Linked DNA regions of Neurospora crassa OR74A. The protein of the gene in region 4 purifies or fractionates together with the protein of the main gene of each other region. This does not show direct contact. Links are inferred from orthologs where the notes say so. Each region holds a gene or a part of one and is shown on either strand. Other genes may lie near its edges.

Region 1 (3,504 bases), on a different chromosome or scaffold from region 4:
GAATGCCGCGCGATCAATGGAACTCGGAGAAAAATATATAAAAGTTACAAATGGGGAAGGGGAGGGGGAGGCAAAAAAACAGAATTTGTCCAGTTTGTCCAATTAGATATGAATTCATACCTTAGCTCTACTCATCTTGAGAATCCCGTCATCGATAAGAAAAACACACATCAACCTTGAATTGTTTGTTGAAAGGCCGGGACAAGTTGGCTAGAAGGTCTCGGACTAACAAACAACGAACAAACCTGTATCGAGTTATAGTGTACATGTAGCGCACAGTAGCAACCTACCATGAATCGTGAGGGGTCAATGACTCGTGAGATTTGTAAAGTTGATCTTCATCCCCAAGCAAATGACATTGCTTGGCGGTGGAAGTGAGAGAGTATGGATGACTTTACATGAATCGTGTTTCACGAGAATTTGCCGTCGGTCAGCACCGGTTTTGGAGATTTTGGAAAGGTAATCAATCACAAGAAAAGATGGACAGCGTCGAGTCTCAAATGGGAAAAGGAAGATCAAATTACGATTGAGGTATCACATGAACGAACGCCGAGTAATGCTCTTTTGCTCAAGACAGAAGAAAGTTGATTGGCTTTTAGATGAACCCTTTTGAGAGACCATGTCATCCCCATGACCCAGATGATTTCGCACCCATGCGCATCGAATGAACAGAACCTGTTTCCTCCCAAAAGGTTGTTCAACCCCTAGCAAAGTCCATAACAACTTCCAATTTACTCCGAGCGGAGAGCGGCAATGCGCTCCTGGACACCAGCAGCGCGCTGCTCGCGGGTGAGCTTGGACTTCTTGTACTTGAGGGACTCGGCCTTCCACTCCTCCTTGGTCTTCTTGGGAGCCTCGGACTCGGCCTTCTTGAAGGGGTCCTCGCGGATGGCGGCGTGGGCCTCGGCGTAGAGGTCCTCAAGGCCATCAGCCTCAAGATCGTCCTCAATGTAGCGGTTGAACTGGGACTTGTAGCGCTCCTCATCGTCGTCGGCGAGGGTCTCCATGTACTCAGCGACGTGACCGCCGAAGATGTACTTCTTGAGGGTCTCGGCATCGAGCTCCTCGGACTCCATGTCGTAACCGGGGAAACGGTTCTCGGAGTGGGGGATGAAGATACCGCCGTCGGAGGCACCCTTCATGGCACCGAAGACACGGGCACCGGTGGAGGTGCGAGCAAGACCGACATCAAGGAAGGCCTTGAAGGGGCGGCGCTCGCCATCGTCGGTCTCGGCGGCCTCGGTGAGCTTGTACTCACCGTCAGCCTCCTCAACACCCTTGAAGGTCTCGTCGAGGCCGAGCTTCTTGAGGACACGGCGGGCGAGGAGGAGACCGGTGGCGTAGGCAGCAGCCCAGTTGGTGAGACCGTGCTCAATGCCGTAGGCCTTGAGCTCGTGGGAGTAGGCGGAGGCAAAGACCTTGTCGCCGGTGATCTCGGAGCTCACAATCTGGAGGATGATGTCGCGGTTGGTGAAGCGGACAACCAGGCGGTACTTGGGAGCATTGTACTTGTTCTTGGCCTGGGTGATGAGGCGCTTGCGGGCATAGTAGTCGGTCTTGCCCTCTCTTCTGCGCTTGTACTTGGTCTGGAAGCGACTGTTGGGCGGATTGAATGTTAGCGAACCCCGAGCTCCTATCGATTTTTCTCGGATTTTCAAAAAGAGAACATCTGCTTACCTGTAGTACGCGCTGTTCTTGACAAGCTTGTGGAAGGCCTGACAATCAAAATCCCCGAGTCAGCAATTATCGCTTCAGAATATTTCCTCCTCTCCGAAGCATCTTGCGTTGACTCTCTTTCTCCTCAATTTCCCCCAAGTTTCCCTCTGGGAATGGTGTGTGATTTGAACGCAGCCGCTGGTCGCTCATTGCTGAACGGCCGCGACGCACGCCGTAGGTCGTCAACTTACCATTTTGACTACTTTTGCTGGGTGCACTCAACAAACGGTCTTGAGACGGGCTGGGTTGTCAGAAGGGAAATTTCGAGATCGCGAACAAACTTTGGTGGGCAGGAATTTCGCACTACAATCCCCACAACCCTAAGAACAAGAGCGCGCCTGATTGGTCGGCTGACCGCTGGGTTGTCAACTCAGGTTGGCGACGACCGATTCACTCACCCATGCTTTGCCGTGGCGCCACGGTGGGCGACGACCTAGCGCCAAGAATTTCACGCAAGCGGCAGGCAATTGTGGGCTCTGCCAATGGCATTGTAAGTAGTCTCGGGCTTCAGTAGCCGTCGACCTCTGGCAATCACTGTCCCGAACCGAGGTCTAGTATAGTGTACCATTCACTTCACTAATCGCTTCCTGGTGCCAATGTGCGGAGGTCCAATGTTGTTGATAGATGAATCCAAACATCCTTATACCCCCAAAGTCCCATGACATTATAGTGTGATGCTTCCTGAAGAGTTTCCCCCTGAATACATTCTTGAAGCCATCGACAACATGGCGCCAACCATCCTCAAAGGGAAAAGGTCCTCCGGGTCCCCCAAGCCCAAAGTCATCCTCTTTGACATTGGCGGCGTCTGTGTAAGTCAACATGACCACATCACCACTTCACTTATATACACAAATACATCTACCCCTCACAAAACAACACCAACATAACTAAATAACTAACACAAACCCAGGTCATCTCCCCCTTCCAGTCCATCCTCAACTACGAACTCCGTCACTCCATCCCCCCAGGCTGGATCAACCACTCCATCTCGCGCTCCGCCCCTTCAGGCTTCTGGCACCGTCTCGAAACCGGTTCCATTCCCATGGACGCTGCCTTCTTCGCCGGCTTCAACCGGGACCTGCACAACCAATCCCTCTGGGAATCCTTCTACCGGTCTCACCACCACCACCACCAACAAGCCAAAAAGCACCACCACCATCACCGCTCCTCATCATCATCATCATCATCATCATCATCATCATCATCATCATCATCATCTTCTTCATCTTCTTCATCTTCTTCTTCTTCTGGTTCTTCTTCTGGCTCTGATGAACTACTATCGATCCCGCCCATCCCCCAAATCGACGGCGAGTGGCTATTCCACGACATGATGGAGCACGCTCGAGCTCCAGACCCCTGGATGTTTCCCGCCCTCCAAAAACTCAAGGAAGACGGACGGTTCGTCGTCGCGGCACTGAGTAATACGGTGATCTGGCCGGAGGGGCACAAGTGGGCGGAGAAGGGGGACTTCTTCAGCGATCCGTTGCGACAGCTATTTGATGTTTTCATTTCGTCGGCGCATGTGGGGTTAAGAAAGCCGGATCCGAGGATCTATCAGTTGGCGCTTGAAAAGGTAGATCAGTTTGCGAGGGCAAATGCTGACTCCGAAAGGGGGAAGAGGGGCGGTTGGGCAGAAGGGGTGAGGCCGGAGGATGTTGTGTTTCTGGATGACATTGGGGAGAATCTGAAGGCGGCGAGGAAGGCTGGGTTTAGGACTATCAAGGTTGGGTTGGGAAAGGCGTTTGAGGCGGTTGATGAGCTGGAGAACGTGACGGGGTTGAAGCTGGC
Region 2 (3,934 bases), on a different chromosome or scaffold from region 4:
GTCTAGGTAGTATAAGATAGGTCTGTCTGTCTGTCTGTCTGTCCGGGGCCGGGCCGGGTCGGGTCGGGTCGGGTCCGGGGCGCAAAAACATCCGGAAACCTTGAAACATGCTCCGATTCGGGTTTTGTGTGTCCCGGTTCCCGGCCCCGGTTGTTCTTCTTCTCGTGCTTTATTTAAATCGGGCGTACCTTGAGGCTGGACACAAGCTCCGAGGTCTCGAGGAGAGTCAGGGTGCTGATCTGGTCAACAATGGCGGCGATCTTGGGGTTGGCGGCAGGGGCGGCGGTGGACTCGAAGCGCTTCTGGACGAGGAGGGAGCTCGAGGCCCGGGTGGATGCGCGGAGCTGGCGGGCGGCGCATTGCGCGGCGAAGCGAACCGAGAGAGACATTGTTGGTATGTGTGTGTGTTGGTGGTGGTGGGTTGTGTGGATGGATGGATGGAGAGAGGGGAGTCGGACTCGGACCGGAGGAAGGAAAGAGAGAGGGCGCGCGGGGGCGGTCGGATTGGGGTTCTCTTTTTTTGGTGAGGGAGGCTTGCCGTCGACGTCGACTTCGAGGATCGTACAACCGAACCGTACAACAACTAAACGGAGATATTTTTTTGGGGACGTTGTCGCGCGCTCCCGGGTGCTGCGAAATCTGGGACCCACTACTGGCAGTTGGCAGCTTGGTGGTTTGGGCGTGCAAGTTGGATCTATGACGGCTGGCTGACCCGGAGCTGCAGCTGGAGGGGAAAACCCAAGCTGCCTGCCCCGCGCGAGTCTGGGGATTAGGTACCTCTGTACCTTGAAGTCCACTGAAGACGCGCTAAAGGATGGGCCCCTGTCATCCCAAGCGCGCCCCTGCTGCCGCTGGGCTGTTCGTCCCACCCGGAACTAGGTTCCACTTTTGAAGAAGATGGCTCCCTTGCCTGCCGCAGCCGACTTACACTACACTATGTAGAGTACTATGCAGTACACCCCAGCACATGCGCCTAGCGCTAAGTAGCATGTACCCCGCACTATCGTTCAGCGCGATAAGGAATTTCATGTGGGAAAAAGTTCCAAACGGGAGAAAGCGAAGTTCAATGGGCAAAAAAGTTAGAGATAAAAAAAAAAAAGAGACTAAGAAAAACATCACCGTTTTTCACAACGACGACGACGACGACGACGACGACATCCACGCCAACCCGTCCCGTCGCTTTTCCCTGGCCATGATGGCCGTGATCGATGTGAGCCAGCAGAGGGCGTCGCTCCTTAGCGATGCGACCACCTTGGACCTCTTGCCGCCAGAGTTGCTGCTCATAATCCAGGATCACCAATCGACCAAATTCCTCGATGCGATCGCCAGCGCCGCTCTTGTCTCGACAGCCACCGACCGCATCTTTACCCATTTCGAGTCTGTTTTTGCCGATATTTGCGCCAGATGGATTCTGTCTTCTCCAAAACTCGATACGCGAGTCCTTGCCGCTTTCGCAAGGATCTTGCCCTTCGCCCCGTCGCTGTCCGTCTTCCTCGTGTCGCATCTTCGAGGAGGATCTTTTGGTGGTGTTAATGGTGGTAACCACAACGACAAAAGCAACGACAATGATGCTTCTTCAAAACTTAAACCTCTCGATTCCCTTGACCTAGCTTCGATCCGCCCAGATGACCTCCCAATTGTCCTCCTAGCCCTCTGGAGGCTCAACAACTTTGACAAGCGCACCTACGCCGGCCTGTCAAAGCCATCCCAAATACAGACCCTGTTCGCACACGAGAACCCCATCGTCCGATATCTTGCCGTCCGAATCTTCTGCCAGCTTCATAATGCCGCCGATGTCAAGATCGAAGCCCTCCTCGAAAAGCACATACCCAAAGATACCAGCCTTGTCGCAGAGCTCGACGGGCGCGAAGCCGACTATGCGTTCCTCAGCCTACACGAGGATTCTAGACGTGAAGACATTCAGAGCTCTCGCAGTAAATCCCAACAAACTAGTGCGGTTGACGATGCGGTTGTCGAATTGAATATCACAAACATCCCAGAACAGAACCTCACTCCTCTAGTTGTCAAATATGGAAAGACAGTCCTCCCGCGTCCCCTCGGCCCTGTGACTGCTCCCACCACCCTCGCACTTACCCCGACGACTGTTGAGAACCTCGAGAACCTCACCGGGTGCCTGCAACGACCCGGGCCTATCCTCCTCCACGGCCTGTCCGGTTCCGGCAAGACCTCCCTAGTCCACGAGATTGCGCGCGAGTTAGGCAAGCAGAAGCAACTAGTGACACTACACCTGAACGAGCAAACCGACGCCAAGATGCTGCTTGGGCTATACACCACCGACTCGAAACCCGGTTCCTTCTCGTGGCGCCCAGGTGTGTTGACCACTGCCGTCAAGGAGGGAAGATGGGTCTTGATTGAGGATCTCGATCGCGCGCCAACAGAAGTCATGAGCACATTGCTGCCTCTCATTGAGCGAGGAGAGCTGCTAATTCCTGGACGCGGCGAGACCATACAGGCCACCGAAGGCTTCCGCATATTTGCTACTGTCCGGACGCTGCTCGGCATGAACGACAAGGAGAACCTACCCAGCTTGATTGGTCTGCGTCTTTGGCAGCTTACGCACGTCAAGGCCCTTCCCCAACAGGACTTGAAGGATGTCATCAACAGCAGATATCCCTTGCTTCACAAATACGTTCCAGGAGTGTTGGCGGTCTTCGATGCGTTGCTGGCGGCCACCAGCGGTTCGACCCGTCTGTCGCTCGGTCGCATGGTCTTCGAGCGGCCACTCGGCACAAGAGATCTCCTCAAGTGGTGCGGGCGCCTAGATGAGATTCTCCGTGCTTCCGGCTGCAAGACTGGCGAGGAGCCCATTACCGATACTACCAGGGACCGCATGTTCCTCGAAGCGGCCGATGTTTTCGTTGGTGGAGTCAAGGAGATCCAAGCGCGTAATATTCTAATAGGTGTCATTGCGAAGGAGATGCATCTTTCTCCCGAGAGGGTTGAGCACTACTTGACGAGCTACGTTCCCGACTTGGAGGATAATGAGTCAAGACTCACCATCGGCCGCGTCTCGTTTGCAAAGGGGAGGAAAACCAGCCGTGGGGCCAAGAACAAGAGGCCTTTCGCTACCACCACTCATGCTAAGCGGTTGCTGGAGCAGATTGCGGTTGCTGTAAGGCACAAGGAGCCGCTCCTGTTGGTCGGTGAGACGGGTATCGGTAAGACTACCGTGGTTCAGCAGCTGGCGGAATCACTTGGTCACCAACTTGTCGCCGTCAACTTGTCCCAGCAAAGTGAAGCTGGTGACCTTTTGGGTGGCTTCAAGCCCGTCAGCGCACAGACCCTCGCCATGCCTATCAAGGAGGAGTTTGAGGATCTATTCGAGAGAACCGGCGTCTCTGCTGAAAAGAACAAGGCTTATCTGGACGGGATCAACAAAAAGTTCGCCAAGGGCAGGTGGAGAGAGGTCTCCAAGGAGTGGCGCAAGGCTCCCAAGATGTTCGAGCAGATCCTCGCCAAGTTCGAGAGCATGCAAGCAGCCAAGACCGTAGAGGCGGAGGTTGCGGAGGAGAACCAGGAGCAGGGCCCAGCCAAGCGTCGGAAGACCGAGTCCAGCAAGCTCCAGCGCCTGCGGGATCTCAAGGCTCGTTGGGACTTGTTTTCGCAGAGTCTTGATCAGTTTGATAGACAGGTCGCGGCTGGTCCTGGTGGCTTTGCCTTTGCTTTCGTCGAGGGCAAGATTGTCAAGGCGGCGAGAAACGGTGACTGGGTCCTGCTTGATGAGATCAACTTGGCCTCACCTGATACCCTGGAAAGCATTGCTGGCTTGTTCCAGACCAATCCCTCTCTTTTGCTCTCTGAAACGGGAGAGATTGAGAGAATCCAGGCGCATCCCAATTTCCGCGTGTTTGGTGCCATGAACCCTGCCACAGATGTGGGCAAGAGAGATCTTCCCATGGGGCTGAGATCCGTG
Region 3 (3,988 bases), on a different chromosome or scaffold from region 4:
CGGCCGTGCCAGCATTGCTTATTATGTCGGCCAGGCCCTGCGCGGCAAGGCTACGGAGGAGGACGGCTTCGTCATGAAGATCTTTAGCAATGGCTTTGTTGTGCTCGTGCCGAAGTTCGGTATCGAGAGCTTGATCCGTCTGCGTGACCTGGCGGAGCCGGAGCCGGCGGCGACGTATGATGCCGAGACGTACACGCTGACCACATCGGGAAGCAGGGAGGTTAAGGTGGAGTTGTTCCAGAAGGTCAGGGTGAGGGTGACGGATCAGAAGGATGAGACGACGGGGAAGAGGGGGGTGAAGATGGAGCTTGTTAGTACTTATTAGATTTGTTGAAGATGGATGCTTCAGTATTTGAGAAGGGGTACAGGTTAAGAATACCCTTGATGGACTTTTGTAGAGCAATACATTGTTTTTTTACTTTCGGCTATCCAAACGTTCATGAAGTCATTTTCGGAATGTCGTTGCTTTCGAATTCGATAATAGGCCATTGAAAACACAGCTCGGTATGATGAACGATGCAGGGAATGTCAGAAAGAATTTAAAGCTTCACTTCAAAAGCCTTTGTCATAGAGGTGTTTATGATCAGGCTATATTTGACCTATTTTCTACCAGCCGGCCTGCCTGTCTCCCTTTTTGCTCTTTCCCACCTTGACGCCAAAACGCCTCTTCACAAAGATGTGTCCAGCTCCGGGGTTCGTTGTATTGTGTTTCTGACATGCAAAACAACAAAATACTCATTACGACATTGACCACCGACGCAACCGAAAACAAAAAAGAAACCAAAAAGTGAAATGCTCAACAACAACTGCCAACAGACAAAGATAGGGGGAATAAATCGCTCTACTGCATCTCAACATCCGGAGTCGCCGTCTCCTCCTCATCTCCCCAAAGACCATCCAGCTTGAACTCCTTGGCCCACTCGGTCACGATCACCTTCTGATCCGCTAGGGGCTCATCAGCGGTAGCAGACTTGCCGCCAGCAGGAGCAGGAGCAGTGGCGGTACCAGCCACAGCCAAGACGGGAGCATCGATCCAGCCCTGGATACGACCGTCGCGCCAGTCGGTCACGACAGTCATGGCAGCGGCTTGGATATTGGGGATACCGCCCCTGCCCAGCCTGCCGCGCTTGCGGGCAACCTGGACAAGGAAGTCCATGGTGGGGTCGCCGTTGTTGGGGTCGCGCAGCAAGGGGGGAAGGTCGTACACCTTCATCATCTTGTCCATCAACTCGGGGGTGGCCGACAGGCGCTTGAGCAGCAGCGTCACGGCGGGGACCGGGTCCTCGATCTGCTTGGGCGGGATGGCATTAAGGAGCACCAGGTGGGCGTGCGCCTCGGTCTGGTTCTTGGGGGTGAAGGTCGAGTTGCCGGCAGTGGAAGGGAACACGATACCGGGCGAGTCGAGCAGCGTCAGCTTGCTGTCGATCTTGACCTGGCGGATCGAGGTGGTGACGCCGGCCTCGGCGCCGGCCGGGCAGGCGTTGTGCTGGCCGCGGCTGTTGCTGAGGCGGGACAGGAGGGCGTTGATGACGGACGACTTGCCGACGTTAGGGTAGCCGATTACGCCAACCTGGATGGAGCGCTTGAGGTTGCGCGAGACGGCGTACGACTTGAGCGCACGGAAGAGAGCCGCGCTGGTGCTTTGGACGGTAATGTCGCGGTGCTGGAAGGTGTGGGCGTTGGGGGCAGGGTTGGAGGCACGCAGCGGCAGCGTGGGGAAGTAGCGGCGCAGGTGGGTGAGCCAGCCGCGGAGGACCGGGGGAGGGATCAGATCGACCTTGTTGAGGATGAGGATCAGGCGCTTACCACCGTGGGCGGCGGCCATGACGGCGCGCTCGACGTCCCTCGAGCGGGTGCCTTCGGGATCACGGGCGTCGAGGACGTAAAGAATGACATCAGCCTGCTCAACAACCTGCTTGAAGACCTTGTCGAAAGCCTTGCGCGAGGAGGCGCCGCCGGGAACCTCAATAACGCCGGACTGTGTGGGTTCGCCATCGGTCTCGTCGTCGGACTCGTCGTCATCGTCCATCTCGTCGCCGCTCTGGAGCTCGCGGTCGTACTGCTCGGCAGCTTTCCTGGCGCTGGCCACCAGGGCAGCGAGGGGGTTCGACTCATCGTCAACGTCGCTACCATCCTCCTCCATAGCATCGTCGTCGTCCATCAGATCGTCATCGAACGCCTCGACATCGCCCTCGGCGCCCGTCTTGGTGTCCTGGCCAGTCTTGGCCGCCTTGGCCATCTCACGACGCTTCTGCTCCTGTTCCTTTCTCCGAATGCGGTCCTCCTCGATCTGGTTCAACAGCTTCTCCTTGTAGGGGAAAAGGTTCGGGATACCCGGGTCCTTCTTGAGCTTGGAGCGCCATTCTGGGTTCTTCTTGGCGAGCTTTCTGTCCTTGCGTTGCTTCGCGGCCGAGGCCTTCTGGATCTTGTGCCTGAGGCGTACGGGTGTACGCTTCGATTTCGGCTCTGTTTTTAAGTAACGTCAGTCAATGTGTTGATTGGAAGAATATGTTGTTCTCAGCGAAAGATTGACTGACTTTTGGGCTTTGTTATCGATCCGGCCATTTTGAAGATATGCTGCTCCTAATGTCAAAAAAGGAGGTACAGGAGGATAATTGAGGATGGGACAGCAAGGTAAAGCAGCAAAATCCGGTCGCTACTATGGGCGGCTGTACTGATTGATGGTCGTCAAAAAATTAGAGTGGAGGAACGGTTTGTGCCACTGCTGACCGCCTAGATAAGCTCTGATAAAGCAGGGATCCGCCGTGTTGAACTCCACCAAGATTCCAGAAGTCCCCGCTTCGAATGTGGAGATGCGCGTGCCTGTAATTTACAGTCGTATTGTATGTTTGATTTGTGTTTAGCCAAACGTGGAATGTAAATTATATTGATACACTTATGGTGTGGTTGCGCTTGTTCTCTATATGTATATGAAGAATTATTGCTACCGACTCTTTACGCAAGTGGTTTGCATTGCCTTTCCAGAAAGAGGACTTTAGGTCGGTCCGTCTCAACAATCAAACACTTGTCTGCCATGACGATCCTCAAATCCATCGAACCGTCCGTCAAGGTGCAGTTCTGGATGCCATCAGTTCTGTCGTCAAGCACTTGTTTATACCACACATGGACGCTGTACGCTTTTTTTGAGTTTTTGGATCATCATGGATTCAACAGAACACCGTGCCCCGCTCGCATAATTGATCGTCGCTTAAGCTGACAATGGCATTGCACTATGCAATGATTATCGGCAGAGCAGACACTCCGGACATTGGGTCATCTTGGCCTACGTAGACAAAGTCCTGAAGCAAAATAGCATGCTAGCATCGAATACGCATCAAGAAAGGGGGTTGTGGTGGGGAGGTAACATATCACCCAGAAACCACGCTTATCACGCTTCACATGAGGGAGTATCTTCAGAAACTCTTCCGTAGGTATCCCCCATTTAGCGTAGAGAAAGACGGAAGAGACCGATTGTTTCCCAAGTTATCGCACCCTTCAATCGCTGTTCTCTTGTAAATGCATCCAGGACTTGCGAGTCAATTGTATCCTTGATCTGATGGGCCCTTTCAACGCGTTCAAGGAGCTAATTTATCGCTAATTACAACAACGACTCATCCTAACGCTGCTGGGACAGTTGCTAGTTGACCGTATCGAGGTTTCCGATCGACCGGCACGCGAAGTGCTCCGCCTAAAACTCCTTTGCTGTTTCATACTGAACCCGAAGCACACGCTTTGCATCATCCATCAGGTCCATGTGCTGATAGATAACACCAAGCTCGCCACTGGCTTCGATGCGCAGCTCACTTGATGCCGACATGGCCATTGCTTGCTCGAGCAGGTCTTTTGCCTGCTCATACTTGCCAAGGCGTCTGTGTGTACCACCGAGTTTGGTAAAAGCCAACTGTTTGTAACGGTCACCGCTCAGAATGGCACCGGAAGCAGCCCCTGATTCGCAAAAAGCAAGCGCACTGTTGAAGTTACGCATCGC
Region 4 (3,555 bases):
GCAGCAGATGAGGCAGATGCAGATACAGCAGCCCGGCGACAGTTTTGGTGGGGATGCGGGACATTATGGGTATGGACAGGGGTACGTGGTCAGTCAGAGCTCGGCGTACCAGCCGGGGATGGGGGGGATGAATGGCATGGGAGGGATGAATGGGGCTCAGGGGGATTTGTTGTTGTGAGGGAGTGTGGTGTGAGGGGTGCCTAGCTCCGAATGGAAAGGGGGGATGGGATGGGAAGGGGTAAGAGTGGGAAGAGAGGAGAGACAAGGTAGTAATGTAATAGACAGACTAGGAGTTGGGGAAGCGTGGTGAGTGTGTGATTTGGTAGGGTGGTGGGAAAAGATATCCAGTTAGGGTTTTTGGTTGTAGATAATGCGAATAACAAGTAATATCCCGTCACTACGTATGTTCTGGTGTGTTAATGGGCGAGTGTGAAGACATTCATGTAATGTCATCTCACTACAAGACTTGAAAGACAAAAACGCGAGCATAGGACCACTTTGAATGTTCCAACCTTTTATTGCACTGAAGACCAAGTGAGAAAACCGTAAACGCCAATATACACATGACAAACGTACTACTAACAAAAACCAAAAGGGAATATTTTGTAGAAGGAAAAACAATTACCAAACAAATCCGAATATGTATATGTCCGTAAAGCCCCAAAACTTAAACCCAGCCGAGCCGCTTCAAGCCAGATTGAAATCCTTGAAAGTCCACTTCTCCGTGACCTTTGTCTTGGCCTGCTTTTTGAAGGGAATGTGCCTCCTCGCCTCCACCTTGCCTCTAAGCAACATATTCCTGTACCTGTCTTTCAACAAGTTACCCTCCGGCTTGAGCAACCTCAGCGAATCCTGCAGCTCATCCGGCAAGACCAGCTCCAGATCCTTCTCGGGCAACTTGAACTTGCCTAGTTGCCTACGGCGCAGCTCGACGTCGTCATCTTCTTCAAGGCTAGCATCGTCCTCTTCGACATTGTTGGATTCGGCTTTTTGGAGAGCAAGCTGCCTCTCCTTCTCGGCCAGTTCCTTGGCAATCTGCTTGACCCGCGCGGCCTCGGCCTCCCTCTTCTTGATGGCCGCCTCGTGCTTCAGACGCTGCTCCTCGGCCTTGCGGCGCTTGATCTTGTTGCGCTGGGCTTGCGTCTTGCGCTCCGGCCGCTTCTTCTTGTTGGCCAACCCTTCCGCGTCGCTCTCGGCCCCTTCCCAGGCGGAATCATCCTCCCATTCCGACAGCTCGGCGCGCTTCTCGGCGGCCTCGGCCTCGGCGCGCGACTTGGCGGCCGCTTCGGCCTTGAGACGCTCCTTCTCGAGTTCCTCCAGCCGCTTCCGTTCGGCCTCCTCGGCCTTGCGCAGCTCCTCCTGGTAGCGCTCCGAGTAGTCGGTGAAGGCGGGGTTGTACGACTTGTCGCCCTTGGGCTTGGGAACGGCGGGGAGCTGCTTGCCGGTGGCGGCGAGGGAGATGGGTTGTTGTGTGAGCGTCTTGGGCGCCTTGGGCTTCTCGACCTTGGGCAAAAAGTTGAACGTTTCCGCGGCCTGCTGCTTCTTTTTCTGCTCTTCCTCTGGGTCGGCCCAGGCGTCAAAGGTGGCGTCAACGACCTCAACCGTGGTGGTGTGGTGGCCGTCGGCAACGCGCTTCAGGCGACTGAGCTCCTTTTGGGTGACGTAGGTGGCCCGCAGGCGCTTGGAGGGCAGGACGCCGTCGGTGACCTTGCCGGAGGTTTCAGAAGCCGGGCGCTTCTTGAGGGAGACGGCGGGAACGGCGGAGCGCTGGGCGAGGATCTCGTCGGCCTTCAAGGGCTTCTTGAGTTGCTTGGGGAGCTTCTTGGTGATTTCGGTGTCGGGCTTGACGTCGATGGCGAAGAGTTCTTCGGAGGTCTTCTCGGCAATGACACCACTGTTATACGATAATTCATGTTAACCAATTGGTGTCTTTGGTAATACAAAGCATCACAGAAGGAGCGCCGTACCCCTTGATAATCTGGGCGTTCAACTCATCGAGACCCTGCTCGACCTCTGTCACGTCGACATTCTTCCTCCACGCCTTCTTGCCCTTTCTCGACGGTTGGTTGTATTGCTTGGGGGCTTCGGGATTGCCCGACAAGGGTTTTAGGACGGGCATTTTGGATATGTGATGTGATGGTGTGTTGTGTTGTTGGGTTGACGACTCGAAGAAATCAAACGAGTCGGCGGAGGTTCGAGGCAGATAAGAAATTGGAAATATTGATACCTCGAAACCGCCTGGAATTCTGGGGTCTCCTCTGCAATCAATCCGACTGCCCAGTGGGGTGTGCAACTCAAAATTTCAGCGGCGACAGGAGGCAGCGATAAGATAAGAAAGACCTGCCCGAGACAGGACAGGGAAGAGCAACTTCATGGAACACAAGCGTCCAGCGCTTCAGTTCCCTTCCCCAGCCGTGCTCAGCTGGCAGTTGGAGCAATTAGCCAATCAGACTTCCAAGCTGCCTCGGCCTCTGGACAAATCCAATGACGGCCGCCAAGCTTCCATTGGATGCCCGGTCTCGGTCGTTTTGGTCAAGTGAAGTGTCGAATTTGTCTGGGCGCAGAAAGGCGGCGGGCGGCCACTGTTTCCCTCCACTGATCGCTTGGCGCGGTCCCCTTTCTCTCGCATGAGTCCGCTTCGGGGAAGAAGACTGAATAATAGTCGCAAGAAACACTTTGTTGTTCGAACTTGAGGTTATGCATAAACAATGGATAAAAACATGTAAACTTGTACATACGTACATACGGAATGTCGGTCAATCAATTAATCTGTATCCAAACAAAATATTAAATGTTCAAGTATTTTCTGCTCTCTGTGGTATCAACTCTTATAAAACGATCTCTCGACCCGATTTTTGTTTGGTAAACGAAGACTCGACGGACTGCAAAGACCCCAGCAACCAAGTCGGCAACGAGACCCCGACTGGATCCCAAACACCGACCCGATTGTCCTCCAAGCTCCCTTGTCATCCACCCCCCGGCCACCACGCCCCGTCCGTCGCACCACTGAGACCACTCAACGCTGCATGATCAGTCTCCGGCAACTCTCCGCCGCCGTCCATCTTCCACTTCGACGACCAGCAGACACCTATCTAACTCTAGACCAACTCCGACCGCCTACACTACTAAGCTTTCTGCCACTTAACCACCACCACCTCCTCCAAAGTCCGAAAGCTTCCTCCCCTTGATCGTGTTTCCGAATACCTTCAGCTACCTACCTACCTACCTACCTACCTACCCCGCCAAATACCGTTAATCCGCAAACACATCCATCACAATGGCGCAAGCAGGCGGGTCATACAACAACCCCTTGAAGAAATTCAAGTAAGACAACATACCCGACACTTTTGCAGACAATGCACTTAAGTCAAATGGAAGACAAAACAAGACAAGATGCTAACCACTCTTTCTCCTCGCCAGGTTGGTCTTCTTGGGCGAACAAAGCGGTATGCGATTACCTCAACCTACAACACTTTCTCCACGATGTTCTCCGAGACACCAATGCTAACTCAACGATTGCGCGCAAACAGTCGGCAAGACGTCGCTCATCACACG

What was found. Proteins that work in one complex are often made in the same cells at the same time.
Region 1: the proteins of NCU05233 (region 4) and crp-4 purify together in Saccharomyces cerevisiae (affinity purification with mass spectrometry; 3 studies listed by BioGRID, with this or other methods). This does not show direct contact. The link is inferred for Neurospora crassa OR74A from reciprocal best matches to the Saccharomyces cerevisiae genes NOP53 and RPL5.
Region 2: the proteins of NCU05233 (region 4) and NCU06468 purify together in Saccharomyces cerevisiae (affinity purification with mass spectrometry, with the first as the bait; 3 studies listed by BioGRID). This does not show direct contact. The link is inferred for Neurospora crassa OR74A from reciprocal best matches to the Saccharomyces cerevisiae genes NOP53 and REA1.
Region 3: the proteins of NCU05233 (region 4) and NCU03066 purify together in Saccharomyces cerevisiae (affinity purification with mass spectrometry; 6 studies listed by BioGRID). This does not show direct contact. The link is inferred for Neurospora crassa OR74A from reciprocal best matches to the Saccharomyces cerevisiae genes NOP53 and NUG1.

Annotation. Positions count from the first base shown.
Region 1 is NC_026505.1:5,646,510-5,650,013, forward strand, and holds crp-4 (60S ribosomal protein L5), read right to left. Parts: upstream 2,086-3,504; 5' UTR 1,911-2,085; coding exon 1,908-1,910; intron 1,716-1,907; coding exon 1,678-1,715; intron 1,597-1,677; coding exon 732-1,596; 3' UTR 501-731; downstream 1-500. Other genes in the region: NCU04332 (epoxide hydrolase), read left to right, coding at 2,391-2,525, 2,627-3,504. UniProt on the Saccharomyces cerevisiae protein: Component of the ribosome, a large ribonucleoprotein complex responsible for the synthesis of proteins in the cell.
Region 2 is NC_026503.1:1,522,817-1,526,750, reverse strand, and holds the start of NCU06468 (midasin), read left to right. Parts: upstream 1-1,134; 5' UTR 1,135-1,192; coding exon 1,193-3,931; intron 3,932-3,934. Other genes in the region: NCU06469 (putative mitochondrial 54S ribosomal protein MNP1), read right to left, coding at 189-389. UniProt on the Saccharomyces cerevisiae protein: Nuclear chaperone required for maturation and nuclear export of pre-60S ribosome subunits.
Region 3 is NC_026501.1:4,414,055-4,418,042, forward strand, and holds NCU03066 (GTP-binding protein), read right to left. Parts: upstream 2,671-3,988; 5' UTR 2,566-2,670; coding exon 2,538-2,565; intron 2,467-2,537; coding exon 842-2,466; 3' UTR 501-841; downstream 1-500. Other genes in the region: NCU03065 (mitotic control protein dis3), read left to right, coding at 1-325; NCU03067 (hypothetical protein), read right to left, coding at 3,689-3,988. UniProt on the Saccharomyces cerevisiae protein: GTPase required for 60S ribosomal subunit export to the cytoplasm.
Region 4 is NC_026504.1:5,668,603-5,672,157, reverse strand, and holds NCU05233 (60S ribosome subunit biogenesis protein NOP53), read right to left. Parts: upstream 2,352-3,555; 5' UTR 2,120-2,351; coding exon 1,968-2,119; intron 1,895-1,967; coding exon 688-1,894; 3' UTR 501-687; downstream 1-500. Other genes in the region: NCU05232 (AP-2 complex subunit beta), read left to right, coding at 1-178; NCU05234 (GTP-binding protein ryh1), read left to right, coding at 3,278-3,324, 3,421-3,446, 3,531-3,555. UniProt on the Saccharomyces cerevisiae protein: Late-acting factor in the nuclear maturation of 60S ribosomal subunits, which is required for normal acquisition of export competence. Required for the export of the large subunit.